3 linked regions of the Arabidopsis thaliana genome follow. Each later gene encodes a partner of the first gene's protein in a complex. Each region holds a gene or a part of one and is shown on either strand. Other genes may lie near its edges.

Region 1 (7,911 bases):
GAGCATCAAGAAGAGCACCAACGACGGTTCTAACGACGGATACTTCCAACTTCCGAGCGATGGTTCAAGAGTTTACCGGAATCCCAGCTCCACCGCTATTCAACAACAACTCCATCGTGAACACCACGCGCCTCAACACTTTCCTCGGCTTGTCTTCTTCTTCGCCAAACACTTACAACACCAACAATCTCTTGTTACGACCGTTTGCTCAAAAACTCACTCCAGCGACTCCTCTCTTATCCGGATCACAAATTCAGCAATATCAAAACCCTAACAACGGTTTCGAGGATATGAATCTGCAAGCTCTTCTTCAAGCTCATATTTCAAACCCTAGAAGCAATGAGCACGATCAGTTTGGTCTTGGTATGATGCAGACTCCATCTACTAATCCTCCTACTACAACGGCAGCGGCTAACGGGAACATAAACACCGGTGATAATGGAAGCTACGGTGGCTCCGATCATGAACATAATAATGACGGTACTTGGTTATCTTCGTCTTCCGACCAGAGAACATAAATATATTTATGTATAGTCCAAGTCCGAAATCAAAGCTAATCTCTTGACATGATTACTCAACAAATTAAACATAGCACATATAGCATGATGAAGTTACTCGTTTATATATTCTATATTTCAGTATAAACCACTTTAAAACTTTTTTCGTGTAGGGTTTGTTAATTATTTAATACTTAATTAATATGCTTGTTATTTGTTAATCTTAGTTTTTTCCATAACTATATGTTGGTAAGTATTAGTTAGTAGATGGATCTCACCATTTGAATCAGATTTTCTTGGTATATTTTCTTATAATTATATAGAACTTTTAAATTTTAATGACAACGATGACTTGCGATATGAAATTTTAATTTTTCAACAATCAATATACAGTACGTGGTTTTGGGATCACTACGGTTAATATTTCTCCTAATTAATATTGGAGTGAATGGTGGCGAAATTTGGGGAATCTTCCACGGCCGCCGGATTGTGGAATATGGTTTTGGGACCATAGTATATAATTATTAATTAATTATAGACTTGTGGTGATTTGAAATTTGATAAATTACTGTTCTCCCATGTGCTTATTCATTTTTGGTGTATCATCTACATTAACGTCAATTTTTATTGACTTGACTCTCATTTTACCATACCAACAGATTTGAAATTTGAAAATTTCCCAAGCAAAAGAAAAACAGGTAATCAATAATGATAATTATACATACATTTTGGTTTTGACCTACTTTTGTCATATGACAATTTATCTTTATAGACACTTTTACTTCTATTATTATAAGTCTCTTTGTTTGTGAATAGGGGCAAATTTCATTTGACCGCCTCCGACAACCATTGACCTTGTCACGGCTCTGAATGTGATGCGTCTACAAAATTCCTAACTTTTTTCAGTCTTCTCATTAACCAATCAATCGTTAGAATATTCAGCTTAATTTATATCTCTTTCTAGTCTCTAGCTTAACAACACTTCAGAATGAAATGTCAGTTCTTTGTAAGCGGGGTTTTCAATAATATCATTTGCTACTGTATAGTATAATAGTAACTCTTAAAAATAATAATTCTTGTTTTTCACAATAAGATTTGATGATGGATTGATGGTCGCAAAACAAATAATGACATTTGATGAAAAATCTTTTGCTTGTTCTTGTGTATACAAAAGTTCAAATGATTTTGATATTTTTTTGTCCACGGACCAGTTACACTTAAGTCACCAATGCACTGTATAACCTATACACATCACTTACATAAACTATCAACAATGTGCATATATGTGTATCTCTATCTAAATGGAATATATAATAATGGGTGATGATGATGGTTTAATATTATGGTGGTGGTTATGGTGGACCATGATATCAAGCTATTGTCGCACTGATGGGTTTTCTATGTATTCAGATGATACTCGGTTTCATAGTTGAGTGATAACTAGGTCTGGCCATTATCTTACTATCCAAATAATTCGATTCGGGTTCTCAATTTTGTGGGCCGATTGGCTCCAAAAGTTTCATTATTATTTTTGTTCTGTTGAAAATAGAAATCCAAAAAAATACGGGTGGGTCCCATAATCATATCCATTGTACCGTTGCACACTCAAAAGACAAAAGATTCAGACCAAAGGCTCTGGCTTCACGCAGATAAGGAAGCAGAGATCGAAACGAAGACTCAAAGAAGAATGGCGATTTCTACTTTAACACTCACACAATCTCTCTATACACGTTCCTTCAGACCAACCATCTTCTTTTCTTCTTCTTCTTCCTCGTCCTTTTCGTGTCTCTGTTCTTCTTCCTCCGATTGCGAGCCGAAACTCTCCGTCAAGAAACGCGTTTTCGGAGTGGGTTTAGGGTTCCTAGCTTCTTCGATTCTCTCTCTAACGCCTCTGGACGCAGACGCCACGAGGATTGACTACTACGCCACTGTAGGAGATCCTCTCTGCGAATACAGCTACGCAAAATCAGGACTTGGATTTTGCGATCTCGATGTTGGATTTGGTGATGAAGCCCCTCGTGGCGTACTCGTCAATGTAATCTCTCCATCTCTCTAATTTCCTCTGTTTAGGGTTTTTGATTCAAAGTTTGAGACTTTGGAGAGTTGGTCACACACACACAGATCCATTACACGGCGAGGTTTGCAGATGGAACGTTGTTTGACAGTAGCTATAAGCGTGCAAGACCACTTACTATGCGAATTGGAGTCGGCAAGGTACAACAAAGAACCATTGTCTCTCTCTCTCTTTGTTAGCTTCCATAGTCTTCAATTGCATTGCTAGCAAAGTTCACACTTGTCTTTGTTGAAGTTAGTTAGTTTCTTATGTTCTTCTTTGTGATTAGGGTGAGCAAAACAACTATATATCTAAACTCTTGATGTCCAAAAATGATCAGGTAATTAGGGGACTAGACCAGGGGATTCTTGGAGGCGAAGGAGTACCTCCTATGCGAGTAGGCAAGTGTACTGTATTTTCCTTTGTTCAATGTCCTTTATTTGGCTGATAACATATTGGTGCGGTTTTATTTTGCAGGCGGAAAGCGTAAACTTCAGATTCCACCTAAGTTAGCTTATGGACCAGAGCCTGCAGGATGCTTTTCTGGTACTTGCACAATTCCTCTGTAACAGTTTCACTTGTATATGTAAGATATGTATCTCGAGTAATAAATCGACTCTTTATGCAGGTGACTGCAACATACCTGGCAATGCAACTTTGCTCTATGATATCAACTTTGTTGAGATCTACCCAGGAAGTAATACAAGATGAAGCCAACTCCAATCCCGTTTGGTAAAGGAACAAACAACTATGTATGTGATGTATATCACCAGGTGATTACTTTTGACAAGCTTCAGATTATAATTTCTGTAACCTAAAACATTGATGATTTCCAACTGAATCCAATGTCTAACCTCCTATTAAAGAACAAGACACATCTTCTCTGTGCAGATCTGTCTTTTTGTTAAGTTATGACCTTGGAAAATCATATACTTGCATAAATGTATAAGCGCGTGTTAGGTTAGATTCAGTCTTGGTAAGTGATGCAGCTTGTGTCACAAAGATGTACAGAGTCTAGAATAAAGTTGTGTGATGTGGTTTTTCATCGGTGTCATATCTCTGTAATTGGTCCCCTCACAACAACTCATGAATCTTAAGGCCAAAAAAAGTGTAAAACTTTGGTTCTTGCCTACTTGAGCATGTTGAAAATACATAAGACAAATCTTCATTTTTCGATTTTCCAGGAAAAACACAGTGCATGAGCTAATTTACAGCGTACCGGAGGTTCTTAAAGGCTGATGTTAGGCCATCCTCAATGGAGGGTTCTAAGATAAATGAGGTTTTTAAAGAAATCATATATATGAAAGTTGGCCAACTCTCTCCATATGGGTGACACATCATCACATAAGAAAATATCATGTGTCATTTAATATTGATTAAATTAAAATTAGCAAAATTAATTGAGAGAAAATAAAAAATCTCATATTGTGTTAAATCCTCCATTAATTCATTTCTTAAATGATTTTTTCAAAATATAAATATAAATAAAATTACTTATTTAAATAAATCAATTACTACTTTTATTTTACTTTTATTATTTTTTATTTTTAAAAATTTTAATGGTCAATGGTCATCACTCTATAATGACTAAATAGTTGTTTATGTTGTAGTTTATTTGTTTGCTACCTAATATTAGTGTAGTTATTTTACCTTGATTTTTTAATTATTATTACGTTATGGTTCATATCTTATCATATGAAATTCTGTATTTTTATTTTTGTATCTTTAGGTAAGTTCGTAACATTGACATTCAATATTTTTAAGTAATAGACTTTTGAGACGTTAAACATACCACAAAATTCAAAACAAATCCATTTGTCTTATACGGCTATATGCAATAGTATAAAATCTAAAAAGTGTTACTAAAATAACTCTTTAATTTTTGCTTCTTTTTTTTCATACGAAAACTCTTGAAATCAAAATATCTTATATTCTTATTGTGTGTATTCATGATAATGAACAAATTTTAGAATTTTGGATATAAAAATAATCAGATTATACATGAAAATATATAAAAATTGATATTTAGAGTCAAAAATGAATCTAACAATAAAAATGTAAGTACATAAGATGAGTCTAATTTTACTAAGTATAAAATAACAAACAAAAAGTAAACATAAATTAGCGACAAAAATAATTAACATATTTTTATCTAAAGAATTTTTAAAACAAACCCACGCGTAGCGTGGGAATTCATCTAGTAATATAAAAATAAAAACATGGAAAGAAGAAGAGAAAAAATGAAGAGGAGCTCTTAGATAAGAGAATGAAGAGAGGTTTTTAATAATCAAGTAAACCACCTAAGCCACATGTCACTTATACATTGGTTCATTTTTTTCTTAAACTTAAAATTTATTTATATAATAATATTATAATAAAATAATCATTGTTATTGTTGTTAAGAGGTTTTTAATAAGAGCTTATTGTTGAGGATGCTCTTACTTTGTTTACACCTGAAGACTGAAGAGCAAGAATCATATCAGTAAAAATTGTTGAATAAGTCCTTTAAAATATAGTATGGTGGGGGTAGTTGTATGTATAGAAAGATTACATGACCCGTGTATGTTATGATACACAGTTTTTTTAAGCTTTATGTGATCGATCTTTACTATCCATTTTTGGATTTTTCTTTTAATAATGTATGTAAAAGAGAAAGAGAGTGGGTGAAAAGAGTTAGAATATTGGGGTCCCAAAAAACTAAACTCAAATTAAAAGACCATGAAACACCTTAACCAAAAACAAACGTCTTTGTTATTGTTTTGTAAGTTTGAAACTAGCATAGAAAAAATTAACTAGTTTCCACTTATATCTTCCAATGATAGTAAACAATGATTACTTACGATATCCAATTGATTAAGCTAATATAATACTAGATCTATATTAATATTAATAAAACATTCACTTGTAACACCAACAAAGAGCACATGCAAAAGAAGACAAAACCATGAACTAAAAGAGAACAAACACCAAAATTTATAACCCACATTTATGCATATATTACCGGCATATATTATATAAATTCCTTTATAAATTATCTAATAAATAAAAAAAAACTACATAATAGAGCAAGCATTAGGATTATCATCACTAAACAAAGAAGTATAAGAAGGGTCATCGTAGTAAACAGCCATCGTCCCGGTGGTGACGTTTGGGTCAACTTTTCTGACGTAACCAGGCGGTGCTTTCTTATCATAAGCCTGAGCTATGTACGGCTGAGCCACCAAGTTGTACGGTACGTACGGCCATATCTCGGCTTTCTTCCCCGTCGCTTTAGCCTTCTTCAGCACCTTGCTCGCATCCGCATAACCACTCACTGTCACCTTCTGTTGCTTCTTGTTTATCTCCACCGTTTTCACTCCTGAAAATATATGAAGGAAGATTTTTCATGTTATATATATGCATGCATGATGATTGATGCATGTATTTATATAAGTTTTAGATAGGAGTAAGCAAACACATCTCATAAGGGACAGTAACACAAATTCGGACGAGAATTTTGATTATAAAAGAAGAAGCTAGTTACCTTTTAGAGAAGAAAGAGAGTTTTTGATTTTGAGGACACAACCATCACAATCCATCCTAACTTTGAGCTCTACTGTTTGAAACTGCTTCTTCTTCTTCCTTTTTCCATAACTATGGCTTCCTCCATTCCCTATTAGCTCTGATATATACTCCAACGTTCCCCCAACTCCCATCTTGTTGATTTTATCTTTGACTTGTGTCTTCTTTTTATCAAGAAAATTCACAGATAAAGGCGATTAGTAATGGGTATAATTCTTTTCACTCTGGCTCTCAATATGTGTTATGTGTTTGTATAGATATTTGTTTTGGTTTCAGTTTGCAATGAGTTGTTAGCTTGGTTGCCTCGACTTATAAAGGCCTTAATTTGATATTTTAATAAAGAATTACTTTTGTGTATATAATTGTATTGGTACGAAAGAAAAAGTATGTTGTTGTGTTTATAATTGACACAAATTTGGCCAACTTTATAAAAAATAGAAAAAGATGTCTTTAAGAACTTAGACCGTAAGCAATATATATGCCAATTGCCAAAGACCTTGTGGTTTAGTTAAGAAGATATTTGATGGGAAAAGTGGAACTAAAGGGATATATACGCTTTAAAACCATACTAAATTCAATCATTTAAAGTATTTTTGTAACCAATTGTTTTTTTGGTTCATATTTGTATCCAATTGTTGAACAAATGTATATATGTTACTATTTTAACTTAGCATATATACGAAGGTAAGCTTTGTAGGGAAAAGGGAATCCATGTGATGTGAATACAACTAAATCATGGAATAATAACTTTAGGTATTTTTATTTAAATCTTGTTGTTCTTCACAAGGAAGACAGAAAGAAGGTGAGAGAGCCATGCATTTATTAACGAATTCATACTAATTTATCTAAAGCATAATTAATAGTCGGTTCATTATTAAATTAATTAGGATCAATGATCAAATTTAGCAAAATTTAAAGGTGATATATAAAAATAGCAAGAACCATCGTGGAGATTTATAAAGTTAATATTTACTCACTACGAGACAGCTTCACACGTATGGGGAAGAGATCTCGAGCGTTCAATTGTATACGTGGCAATATGACGGCGCCGATTGGAATACGCGTGTGAGGCTGTCTCCTTATTGGAGGAGTTGTGCCACCTCCCCTCTCAACTTAGCTAGCTGTTTCATAGTATGTATTACATTCTCTTCACGTATTCATAATTTTACGTAATAATTCAATAGTAGATATACAAAAACTCATATAATTATCTGGAATGAAGCTAGGGAATATTTTCAACTCCTCAAAATTGAATTTGTATGTTTATTATCGTCCAGCAAATACAAATACGTACATGTAATTAAAGTCGTTCTTTTTATCTTGAATATAGGGACAATTTTGTTTCTTTCGTCTATCAATAAACAGAACTTGTCATAAATTCGAATCTTTGCCTTTTTGGTAACTCATACTAATACCAACGGTTAGCTGACATAATAAATTGTAGTTATATGTATCTATGAATATATGAAGGGGACTCCACTCGAATAATTAGTGGCAAGTTAGTTGACAAGAATTTATAAATTTTCTGTTATATATATAAAAATATAGATAAGAATATGAAGGTGACTCCTCACTCGATCGAAATAATTAGTGGTAAGTTAGCTGACAAAATTTTATAATGTTTTGGAGTTGTCGAGCAAACCTTCAACGTTCGGTACATATAATAACAAGTTTATGCACTCTATTTAAAGACTGTCGATAAGAAGTTTCCGGCAGCCGTTAGATATTTATTTAAATGTATTTCCTAACTCCTAATTGTATTTTATATGGCATCATTGGCATGATTCTATACGAGTTTAT
Region 2 (5,598 bases), on another chromosome or scaffold:
TGTGTGTGTTGCTCAAAGATTATCATCATCATGGTTGCTGTCACAGACTCTGAACTCTTTCATGGCTCTCCGATTTCAACAGATTTCTCCAAGAAACGCAAGGTGTGTTCTTCGAATTTCACTCCAATCTTAATGCGGTCGATTCGTTTCTTGTATCCGAGTATGTACGCTTGATTCAAAAGAAAAGTATAATCGATCCGCGTCTAATACCAAATCCCCAGTTTCTGTGTGATTCGAAGAACCGTGTTTTTCGTTGTCATGTGGATACCTTTTAGGGTTGATAATCGTCAATTCTTAATCTATGCATCGAATCTTGTGTGCATTTGCAGGCGAATTGGTTTTGTAAGCTGAAGCAGTGGAAGATTGATGCTCGTCGCAAACAATGGATTTCTCAATGTAAGAGCCTTTGAATCTTTAAGTTTTCAAGTTTTGTTCAATCTTTCGAGTGTTGATGATGATGAATTTGTTTGTGAATGGTATAGGGAAAAAAGCAAATGTAGATGAAGAAGAAATTGGACGTAGATTGAGATCTTTGTTAGAGAAACTGACTGATCAAAAAGCTTGGAGGATTGATTATGATGATGATGAGGATGATGAGATTGATCTTGAAAGGACATCATCATTTGCTAGTAGTCCCACGAGTGTTCTCAAGAGGAAAGATTCTGTTAGTGGTGATTGCTTTTGTTGTTCTAAGCAGATGACTGAGGAAGAGGAAGAAGTTTTTGACGATGCTTATGATAACTGGGATGGGTTTAAAGATGCGTTAAACTCCTTTGAGAATGATAACAACGAAAGCTCTCGACTTGTGACAGAAGATTTTGAGCAAGAAGAAGAAGATCTGATTCCAGATACAAGCCAGAGGATGAACAAGTGCAAGCAAGAAGCTGCACCTGGAAATCAGACGACGATTCACAGAAACAGTAATAAGAAGAAGAGGTCTAACTCTGAGAAGCAAAGAGGTGATGGTGATGAAGAATGTCCTATTTGCTCTGAGTTGATGGATGCAACGGATCTAGAATTCGAACCATGTACTTGTGGGTTTCGGATTTGTCTCTTTTGCCATAACAAGATCAGTGAAAACGAAGCACGTTGTCCAGCTTGCAGGAAGGATTATAAAAAGACGAGTAAAAAAAGTGGAGAAGTAGGTTATCAGCAACGTGGTCGTGGCACTATTCCCTTGTCTCCGTCGTTTAGAGGACTTGACAGAGCTTAAGAGAGAAAGAAAGAAGTTCCAAAAGTTTCATGAAACTTTTTTTCTAGTTTTGTCCTTAGTTTCATCAGGAACAAGAATTTTGTGGTTTTGCTTAATTAGATTGTTGTCATCTCGGCAATAAATTTTCATTCATGTTTGTGAATCATATAATACACATAAACCAATATTAGTCTTTTATTCGATACATCAAAAGATCATTCCTTAATATTAGCAAAGAAAAGTTTGACTTCATGATGGCACAAACATATCTCACAAGCGGAAGAAGTAAGCATGTCGTCGTCCTCACCAAAACGATGACGAAAACAATAGTTGGGAAAGATCTCGGTTCGACCATCGCAATTGCAGTTCTCACGAACATAGCTTTTTTGTAGGTGTCTCATCATCGGTTCGCCCCACCACCACATATTTCTGATATGTGTCCGATGTTTTTCCATCTCCTTGATCGTATTTGACAACATCAAAGGTTTTCGTAGAGAAGACAAGATCTTGAAACCATTTTGTTTTGTTTTGCCACCAAGACAAATTAGGATCAACCCATAAACATATTGTGCTTCTTGATTTCCATTGTTTGCAGTTTTTGCTATATGTTTGAGTCCTCTGTCTCGTTGACGTTCATGACTATCCCGATGAAAGTAATCGACAAGTCCTTTACGGTATATAGCCTCTAGGTTTCCACTCTTGCGACATCTTTTGAAAAAATTGTGAAATTTTTTACGGTTGCGCCATGGTAAAAGAGGGATTTTATTGAGGGAAAGCCGCTGCAGAATGTATCGATCGTTGCTGATACGTTTAAACGATTTCGAAACTAATTGAAGATTGCGAAACTCGGATAATGATGAAGCTGCAACACATTAAGAGATCTCTACAAGAAGGTCTTCAGGTAGAGAATCTAGAGAAACAGAAACTGTCATTCTGTGGGAATTCTTGAAAGAAGAAAAAGTACTATGGTTTGTTTAAGATTGTGAGTATTGTTTTCTCTCTTGATTTGTTGACTCGGGTTTTTATAACAATGTTTAGATTTCCTATTCCTAATAGGAAAAGGAAGTAATACAAAAGTTTAGAATAAGCCAAAAGATTAAAAATAAATAAAATCTAAAAAAGCTTTAAAAAAAAAAAGGAAAAATACATAATAATGGGATTAAATCCTTGTATGGAGAACAAATCCAAACCCTAGATTCTCTCATTCACCGTTCACCAATGGGAAAACCCAAAAGGAGAAATCATAGGAAACCCACTAACATCACCATCACGTCAATAGTATTTTTGTGATGATGAAGAATTTATCAGAAAATGGAAGTCAAAGACAAAGCAGAGGAAAGGATTGTTTAATGAAGTTGTGAGAGATGAGATTGGCTTTGTGTCTTGTTACTCTCCTAGTCACATACATAATACATTGATTACGAGGTGAATTTGAAACATGTTGGCACACTTCCGCTTGTCTTCGTCGTTTAGAGCACCTAAATTTACCATCATCCGTCCATTAGGTCAGTAGTTATATTTGTGATGATGAAGAAGTTTCCGGTTTTCGGAAAGTGGAAGCCAAAGACAAAACCAGAGGAAATTTTATGAAGCTGTGAGAAATGAGTTTATGTTGGGAGATCGATGAGATAAAATTACCATCATCCGTTTACTGAAGCTGCATTCTTATTATAGGAGTCTGATGACATATTCCACACTCCACAACAGTTTTTGTAACTAATTGTAACGTTGATACTTTGTCAAACTCTTGAACACATGATCATGATGGTGCGCCATTGTTATCGTTCATCTCAGCTTAACACAATCCTTGGTATATCAGTTGCATTCCAAAGGATTCTTCTTGGAACCTTCTTGACTCTACATTCGCTCGTAAACAAGTTTCTCACACTGCGGTGGAACAAAAACCAAGAACACAGAAACAATCATGACTTGACATCAAGACAATGCTACGTATTGTTGATGTACTGAGAAAATTATGAGTACCTTGATGAGCATATCTGTTGGGAGCCAAGCTGGTGCGGTGGGGATACCAACCCATCCAACCTAAAGTCTCCAAAATTCACAATCCATTAGCTCATCTTATGAAACAGAATAAACAATTTGTGTGGAGACTGACTTACAAGTGCATACTCTCCTGTCTCAAAGACACGAAGGTCCAAGACCTGCAAGATTTAGATTACTTGTTCAATAAGCTTGAAATCTCTTGTGATTTATTTTCAAAAGGGATTGTGTTATACCTCGCCGCGATCTTCGTATATGTAATCAAGTCCTTTGTAGAAAGGAGGATGTCCAACTGATAAGTACTGTAATTTCAACAAATGTAGCAAAACAAAAGTTTCAGAAACAGATTTTTGAAGAAGCAGCTTCAAAACTGGGAAAGATTTCGACTATACATTGATGCTGTTGAGGTACTTCTCTTTTTCCACACGAACGATTTGGCCCTTCTTCACTGTTTTCTCATCCACCAGAAACAGAAATTCAAAAGAATTATCAAAAATCTGTTATTGGATTCAACACTTAGAAACAAAAGTGAGGGAACAGACTCGAGTAAACCGGTTTCTTGGGGAGGGTTTTAGGGGTTTTGGTTGCAGCTGGTGATGCTTCCCCATCAGACTTGCCCTGTGTGCTCTGTTTCTCTTTCTCTGCTTCTGCTTTGACTGTGAATTGAGGAAGAGATCGATGAGGGAGTCTTCTAGAAGAAATTGGTAATGAAGAGGAGATGGTTGAAAGAGAAGAAAGCTGAGACACAGTCGCAGAGAAAGCCATTGGAGAGACCACCAAGAAAAAAAATTATGTGTTCTTGGAGTTTCGGGATAAGACCGCAATGGTATCCAAGTCTCTCAACGGTCTAAAACAGACATCACTGAACCAATCATAAGATGCCACGTAAGTGCAAACAAGTTTCCTCTGCTATACAACTAGGAATATAGTAATAGATAATGTATTCCAACAAAGATTATATTCGTTTTTTTTTGTTTTCTGATGCTTGAAAGTTTATGAATTATAAACACATACAAGTGAAATCGTGTATGTCACATGGAAGATCATATACAAAATCTTTTTACGTGTACTTTTAAATTATATGTTACATTATAGAATCTAATTGATCTGGTTGTGAAGTAGGAAACAATATATATACTGTAGGCAAAGTATTTAATTTTATAAAATTGTTTAAATCATATTCACATTGATCTCCTTTTGTTTTAACAAAAAAAAAAAACAGAGTAATAAGGTGAGCATTAGAATCTAGACTTACATAGTTGCATATATCAAAAATAATGTATATTACACAAGGAAATCAAGAGAAAACGTGAGAAAAGATTGAGCTCAATCATTTAACCCCTAGACTCTAATTTGATCCTCTTGGAAGATGGAGTGTCGTCATCAAGGGAGGAAACATCATGAGACGACGATGATGAAGATGTTGATGATGATGATGGAGATGAATCAATGTCGTTTTGTAGGATTCTCTTAGGACTAAGTTTTTTGGTTTTTCCTTCTTCAGCTTCACCACCTCTCATTATAAGTTCTTTTAAACGCTTCACATCAGCTAATTTCACCGGTTTTAGCAAAAACTCCTCTGCTCCTTCTATCATACATCTACAACAACAACAACAACAAAAGAGAGGATAGACAAAAAAATCAGATTACAGTGTTAAGATCCATTGATTCAGTTTTGTATCTTTAGCTATAGTGACTTACTGTTCTATACGAGGTTGTATGTTCTCAGAAGACATTATCACTACTGGGATTTCTCTGAGTGCTGAAGACTCCTGGCAAATATACAACAGAATTTTTGTAAGGAAAACACGAGAAGAGCTTATTCAAATCTTGCTCTAATAAATGACACAAAATAGAAATTTACTTTGATCTTCTTGAGGAGTTCATATCCTGTTAGTCCCGGCATTGAATAATCCGTCACTATCAAGTTCACTTTCAAATCCTGTTATCAAAATTTGCAAAATTGTTCATATAAACGGCATCAATAAACAAATAATAAAATCATCCTCTAAAGGTTAAACTTTTGATCCACATTGTGAAACCTTAGATTTCTTGGGAGCCAAACCAGCATAAGAACACTTCAAGTTTCAACGTCTAGGGTTGATTTTGCTAGAAAACAGAGAGATTCTAAGAAATGAATGAATATATACCTTAAGACCAGAAGATCCATTGTCTCCATCTAAACCAAGATACTGCAGAGCCCTAGTCCCACTCTCAACAGTCGTCACTATATAAAGAAACCCACCAAATTTATCCAAAAAAACGAATCAGAAACCAAACAAAAGAAAAGCAGAAAACGTAAAGAGAAACAGTTTTGCCTTTTACCTTTACAAGCAGAGATCTTAAGCAATCTCTCAATAACTTTACGATCCACGAAACTATCATCAACGGCAAGAACATGTAAC
Region 3 (6,513 bases), on another chromosome or scaffold:
TTGCTGTTGAATACATATAACAAACTAATCAAATGATTCAGACTGAAGATACATATAAACTAATCAAATGATTCACAACACAGAAGATACATAAAAAAGCTCCTAAGTTACAGATGTCTCAAATACTATGGAAGAAAAACCAAACTTTAGTTAAACAAGTGATGTAGATTCTAATTATCTGAGACCATCCAAATGTTGGTGGTCAAGAACAACACTTGTTTCCGTCCAAGCACACATCAAATCCTCTTAACCAATGAGTCAACAACACTAAAAACATGACAAGTCTCCGGACCAAAGAATCAGAACCGTGCAAAGGTGGACAATTGCAGAACAAACTGCAATAACTACTAATCATGAATGTTCAAAGCTAGAGACATGATATTAGTACTGCTGTCTCAACGTTAACAGCTAATGAAGGGACCCATAGACAACAGATAGAGAGGACTAATGATATAAATAAATCTATTTCTTCTTCCCCGAGCATAACCAATGATATAAACGAACTTTCAAGTCAAAGCATAGAAAACAATGAACAATAAATGCATGAACCACACTCACATCATATAAATATACACATAGAGCAACACATGGATACACATAGTCATATACCCTCATAAACATGCTTCTACGCAATTATTTTCTCCAAAAATGAAGTTTTTTCAAAAACCCTAAATTGAAATTAGAGAAAAAAAATCTAACCTTTAAGGCAAGAGAAGATCCTAGTCGAACAGCAAGAAAACTGGAACCAACCCAGCAAGAGAAACACATAAGAGCAGCTACAAATCCAGATTTCTTATCCAAACCGATATAGAACAGAGCATAAATCAAGGCGAATATAAACCCAACGTTAAATCGCAAAACGCCGTCGAGGGTCAACGATTGAGAAAACCCTAATTGAGAGGGGTCGAAAATTGGGGTCGACGAGTGGAGGAGAAGTAAAACTGAGAAGAAGATTGGCCAAACGAAGATGATGTGGATTAGAATGTTGATCGGATTGCTATGGTAAGCACCGTAGAAGGCGAAGTGTTTCTCGAGATCGAACAATCCCATTATGCGACTCATGGATAAAAAATTCGTTGAGGAAGAGGTGTTTTTATGAGGAGAAGATCGGTGGAAATTGGATAATAGTCACCAAACAGAGGAGATTAAAGATATACACGGGAAGAAGACGAAAGTGGAAAGTTTGATTAGCAATTTCCCGAAAATGATGCTAACGTGCGCTTTTTAATAGCTAACATGCGCTTTTTAAAGCGATAGAAGTTGACTTGGCCGGAGATTTTCTTCCGACTTTTGACAAAATACTAGTCGCTAAGAAGAGTAGACGTGTTATTGTGATTGCTAACATGCGCGAATAAAAGCTGGTTTAGATGGATATACATCATTGAAAGTTTGGCAAATAGAACATACACTATTCAACGAATGATGTATTTGGGATGATTGCTAACATGCGCGCATAGGAAGTTGAATTAGATGGAAATATCATTAAAAGTTTGGCAATAGTTGCCAACGTACGCTATTCAACAAATGATGTATTTGGGAAGAGACATAAGCGGAAAGTTTGAATTTCACCAACCAAAGATTTATTAGCAATTTTAGTGTGGTTACTAACTTGCACGTCTAGAGGAGTGAACGTGTTTAGTGATTGCTAACCTGCGCGAATGGAAAGTTTGTTGGACGGGTAAAATACGAAAGTTTGTAGTTGAATTTTGCTGGAAATATCTTTACCACTCTTTAAGGCAAATAGTTGTTCCCAACCTGAGCGTTTTAGAAGGCTAAAATGTGTACTGTGATTGTCTAAATTGGGCTTTTAAAAGACAAAAAAAGTGTTATGCGATGTGATTGCTAACGTACGTTATTTTTTTATTTTGTTTATCACAAAAGTGAAGAGTGGACGATACCAATTCCCTTATCCACACATTTTCTGCCTCAAAAAATCTAATCTTAAAGATTAAAATAAATGAAAAAATAAAAAAGATTACACCAACATTTTTTTTTTTTCTTCTCCATTGCCACCATCAAGAAGTAACAATGGCTGAAGCTTTCACAAGTTTCACCTTCACAAATCTTCATATTCCTTCTTCCTACAATCACTCGGTACATATTATTTTATATTCTTACCAAAAATATTTCATTACGAAAAAAAGTTTAAGAATTGTGTATTGTGTTGTAGCCGAAGCAGAATTCAGGACCGAATCATGGATATTGGCTATCTGTAAGTAATTTTCTCTAACTAAGACTAAAATTAGAAAAAAAATCTCCATATTCTTGTGAATTTACGTCTTAGAATTTGAAAAATTAGAAGAATGTTAATGAGAAGAGGGAAAGGAATTTGATGAGAGGAAGCTTATGTGTAAGAAAGGCATTGCCACATGATTTGCCATTAATGGCTGTGATGGTTCAACAAATAGAAGGAATGCGTGATATCATTACAGAGAAACACGTGTGGCATCTAAGTGATAAAGCTATCAAGAATGTTTGTAAGTTAAACACTTGGGGTTTCTTGAGAGATTTTATTTTCTTTCTTAGACTTTTTTTTCTTCTTTTTCTTATGTTTTGATATTGATCTTGATATGGCAGATATGTTCTACATCATGTTCACTTGTTGGGGATGTTTGTACTTCGGTTCAGCAAAAGTATGAAAACAACAACTCAAACTGAATCTTTTGATACATTTGCTGCATTGGGATCTTAATAGTACTTTGTGATATTGGATCAATACAGGATCCATTCTACGACTCAGAGGAGTACCGTGGAGATGGAGGGGATGGAACTGGATATTGGGTCTATGAAACTGTATGTATCTCTCCCTTTCTAATACTATTAGGAAAGAAAGAAAAAAACTTAGAAATGCATACAAATTATAACTAGGGATGTTGCAATGGACCGACCAACCCGCTGTGGTCTTACTAGACCCTGTGGACCAGTTCAGATCTAGTTTGACCTCAGACTATCCCACCTTGGTCTTAGTAGGCCATGTAGACCTGTTCAGAGCCGGTTTTGAGTACTCCTCCATGTGTCTCAGCATGCGATAAACCTCCCTAAACAAAGAAAAATAGGTGGCTTTTAGGTTAGCGTTTACCGTTGGTATATATGCACCCAAAAATATGAATCCACAACCTTGATCATCTAAACGAAAGTCACAATCTGATAGATGGTAGGTAACATTGATCCATCCTATTGATAGATCAATCATGCTTAGTAAGTTTGAGCCGGGTTGGGCTTGATATAATAATTCAAACGTTAACAGATCTGATGGTAGGTAACATTGATCCTAAGTTGGGTCGGGCTGGGCTTGCTCGGGCCATTGACCTTTGGTATATCATCACAGATTCACAATGTGTACAACTATTATAAGATTGGATAGAGTTGTTATTGTGTTTTGGGTTATATGATGCAGCAAGAAGACATAGAAGAGAAAGCAAGAGCGGAGCTATGGCGTGAAGAACTTATCGAAGAAATTGAACAGAAGGTTGGTGGCTTAAGAGAGCTTGAAGAAGCTGTTACTAAGTAGAAAACTAACTTGTGAATCATAAACCACTTTACATACACATTATATATTTTCTTATATCAGTCATGCAACATTATATATACTCTCTAGCTTCCATATATATAATATATGTTATGTACTTCTTTGTTGTCTTGTGTTCTGAATCATTGAACGATCATGTTAGGAGCAATTGTCTCCTTCAGAAATTTATTGTTGACGACATCCGATGTCTTAAAAATATAAATAATTATGTTTGGTAAACTATCTTAATTTGCTTTTCTTGATTTCTTCGGTCGCAAGTTGGTCAGAGTGAATATTTATTATTTTTAAGTATAAAAAATTTAGTCAATTGGGGCTAAATTAATTGGTCGTATAGACTGGAAAGTGAGTCTGATGAGGAACAATTAGCGGGAAATACGCTTCTGCACGATTCTACCTGACAAAAACCAAAACTAATCAATCTTTAAAAACAAAAAATAAGTTAGCAGAGGTGAAGAAGGAGAGCTTGTCATGTCTTTGTCAGTAACCTTCGTGCTTCCATGTTTCAAAGCCTCTTCGAGCTTGTAATTGTAAACCACACGTGTGGTTTATTGTTTTTGTTTTCTTTTCAAATTTAAGTTTAATTTTCAGATATTTCTTTTTTTTGTGTGTGTGTTAGGAACACATGACAGGAGATATGATGTAACATTTTTATTTAAACAAAAAAAAGATCTGCATCACTGCATGTAGTGTATTTTGTCGTGTGTCAATTAATTCTTATAGTTGTACAATTTTAATTCTGGCCCAAACATGATTGATGACTTGTTAATGACACATATTTACCATATTCCATTATAATTATTTTTTTTCATTATACAGTTTCATAATAATACATTTCAATTTTCGGTTACCAAAAAACACCATTACACATTTCAACACAAAATTTATACTATCATACGATTATATAGACAATCTCGTTTCCGTCAGCCTCCTTGTGGATCTTGAATGTTCAATCCACACCTCCACATTTTGTAAGTAAGATCTTGAAACTCCTTCTTCAAACCTCGATCTATCTGATTAATAATGAGCGTAATAAAACGATTTTCTCAAATGAATCTAGTACCATCCATGCTACTGAGTCTCTTGTTACGCACTATACGCAGTCGTCTCATCTCCTTCTCGCTGGAGGATATCACTATCAGCATTTCTCTCCTTGAGTTTTACTTTGGTTCTATCAATTCACCTCATTAGTTGTGATACAACTCATAGTTATCTCTTTTAATAAAATGTTATATTAGCCTTTTTTGGTGTGTTTTTGAGATTTTCATTGTACAATGTACACCTTTTTTTTTATTTGGTGTAAAGTTTAACATTAAACCAAAAAAAAAAAGGATATAGACAAAATTACATGTCAACATTTTTGTGTCCTTGAGCATTCTAGAACGACGAGAAAGAATCAACCAGGACCGAGTCCCTTTACTTACCAATCTCTCTCTTCAATACACGCCAACGAAGACTTAGCTGGCTTTTTATCCACATGTGCATTGCATTGACCAAGTCTCTGTCACAGCTCCCATTTTCTCCACGTGGCACCCATTAATGTCTCATTCTCGACTTCATATACCACAGCCCCGTGACCAATGAATTTCCTCAAACTGAGATTTTATTACAGACAGATCTGTGTACTTTTATTTTATTACCACTAGACGTGTCCACTGCGTGTACTGTACCGAGTAACAAAAAGAGAAAATAAAAAAGGAATGAGAACACACAACAAATCAAATTATAGCTTTTATTTCGTCACACCTTTCTTTTTATTTAGTTAAGGAAAATGAGAAAATTATCCAATATTGAATGTTTCTAAAGCAGATATTAAAATACGCGGTCAAAATTCTCGCTTTATAAACACATCTCTTCTTCTTCTAGCTTTCATCAATCATCATCATCACTCTCTCTCAATCCAACAAAGAAAAAAAAAGTCTTCTTCTTTTTTTACAAGTCTGAGAATTTTCTACAGAAACAAAAATCTGATTGTTTTTCCCACTTTGCATCTGTTTTGAGGATGCCAGCTACGGATTTTCAAGGATCATTTGGAAGGTCGTTGCTAAGTTTACGGCGAGACCAAGTTGACTCATCAACAGTCGTCTCCGGAAGTAGTAGCCACCACGAGCCAAGCACCATGGAGGTTGAGCTAGATTCGTTTCAAAGACAAGTCGCTGAGAAATTCATCGATCTCAACGCTTCTTCAAACGACCTTCTCTCTCTCGAATGGATCGGAAAGCTTCTTGATTCTTTCCTCTGTTGTCAAGAAGAGTTTCGAGCTATCGTATTCAACCACCGATCTCAGATCTCTAAATCTCCGATGGACCGTTTGATTTCAGATTACTTCGAACGGAGCATCAAAGCTCTAGATGTCTGTAACGCCATCCGCGACGGTATCGAACAGATCCGTCAATGGGAGAAACTTGCCGATATTGTGATCTCTGCTTTAGATAGTCACCGTCCGATCGGAGAAGGTCAGCTCCGGCGAGCTAAGAAAGCTCTGATTGATTTAGCAATCGGAATGCTTGACGAGAAAGATCATCCTTCTGGAACCAATCTAGCTCATCGTAACCGTTCATTCGGAAGAGTCAAAGACAGTCACCACCGTTCGATTGGTCATTTCAGATCTCTTTCTTGGAGTGTTTCAAGATCATGGTCAGCTTCTAAGCAGTTACAAGCTTTAGCGAGTAACTTGGCAACGCCTCGACCAAACGATGTCGTTGCTAGCAATGGTTTAGCTGTACCGGTTTACACAATGACTTCGGTTTTGCTTTTTGTGATGTGGGTTTTGGTAGCTGCGATTCCTTGTCAAGACCGTGGATTGCAAGTTAACTTCTTTGTGCCTAGGCATTTCCAATGGGCAGCTCCGGTTATGTCGTTGCACGATAAGATTGTTGAGGAATCTAAGAGAAGAGATAGGAAGAATTGTTGTGGTTTGCTTAAGGAGATTGATAGGATTGAGAAGAGTTCGAGGTTGATGAATGAATTGATCGATTCGATTCATT

Evidence for each region. The genes of interacting proteins can lie anywhere in the genome.
Region 2: PnsL4 (region 1) and NdhO share a complex: the UniProt entries of both Arabidopsis thaliana proteins name them as parts of the chloroplast NDH complex.
Region 3: PnsL4 (region 1) and PnsB4 share a complex: the UniProt entries of both Arabidopsis thaliana proteins name them as parts of the chloroplast NDH complex.

The regions. Positions count from the first base shown.
Region 1 is NC_003075.7:18,422,599-18,430,509, reverse strand, and holds PnsL4 (FK506-binding protein 16-2), read left to right. Parts: upstream 1-1,931; 5' UTR 1,932-2,184; coding exon 2,185-2,532; intron 2,533-2,618; coding exon 2,619-2,711; intron 2,712-2,890; coding exon 2,891-2,951; intron 2,952-3,027; coding exon 3,028-3,096; intron 3,097-3,178; coding exon 3,179-3,261; 3' UTR 3,262-3,753; downstream 3,754-7,911. Other genes in the region: AT4G39720 (VQ motif-containing protein), read left to right, coding at 1-480, 1,157-1,195, 1,314-1,330; AT4G39700 (Heavy metal transport/detoxification superfamily protein), read right to left, coding at 5,604-5,908, 6,074-6,245. UniProt on the Arabidopsis thaliana protein: NDH shuttles electrons from NAD(P)H:plastoquinone, via FMN and iron-sulfur (Fe-S) centers, to quinones in the photosynthetic chain and possibly in a chloroplast respiratory chain.
Region 2 is NC_003070.9:28,127,063-28,132,660, forward strand, and holds NdhO (NAD(P)H:plastoquinone dehydrogenase complex subunit O), read right to left. Parts: upstream 4,016-5,598; 5' UTR 3,959-4,015; coding exon 3,736-3,958; intron 3,642-3,735; coding exon 3,586-3,641; intron 3,496-3,585; coding exon 3,430-3,495; intron 3,355-3,429; coding exon 3,313-3,354; intron 3,236-3,312; coding exon 3,176-3,235; intron 3,080-3,175; coding exon 3,050-3,079; 3' UTR 2,766-3,049; downstream 1-2,765. Other genes in the region: AT1G74870 (RING/U-box superfamily protein), read left to right, coding at 31-102, 330-396, 483-1,213; AT1G74875 (F-box protein), read right to left, coding at 1,408-2,054, 2,599-2,683; ARR15 (response regulator 15), read right to left, coding at 4,528-4,792, 4,895-4,965, 5,058-5,135, 5,344-5,420, 5,519-5,598. UniProt on the Arabidopsis thaliana protein: NDH shuttles electrons from NAD(P)H:plastoquinone, via FMN and iron-sulfur (Fe-S) centers, to quinones in the photosynthetic chain and possibly in a chloroplast respiratory chain.
Region 3 is NC_003070.9:6,458,597-6,465,109, forward strand, and holds PnsB4 (NDH dependent flow 6), read left to right. Parts: upstream 1-1,806; 5' UTR 1,807-2,028; coding exon 2,029-2,094; intron 2,095-2,170; coding exon 2,171-2,212; intron 2,213-2,247; exon of another isoform or gene 2,248-2,299; coding exon 2,300-2,477; intron 2,478-2,577; coding exon 2,578-2,633; intron 2,634-2,721; coding exon 2,722-2,793; coding exon of another isoform or gene 2,794-2,868; exon of another isoform or gene 2,869-3,247; coding exon of another isoform or gene 3,248-3,253; exon of another isoform or gene 3,254-3,397; coding exon 3,398-3,511; 3' UTR 3,512-3,748; downstream 3,749-6,513. Other genes in the region: AT1G18720 (ER membrane protein, putative (DUF962)), read right to left, coding at 700-1,062; AT1G18740 (ROH1, putative (DUF793)), read left to right, coding at 5,529-6,513. UniProt on the Arabidopsis thaliana protein: NDH shuttles electrons from NAD(P)H:plastoquinone, via FMN and iron-sulfur (Fe-S) centers, to quinones in the photosynthetic chain and possibly in a chloroplast respiratory chain.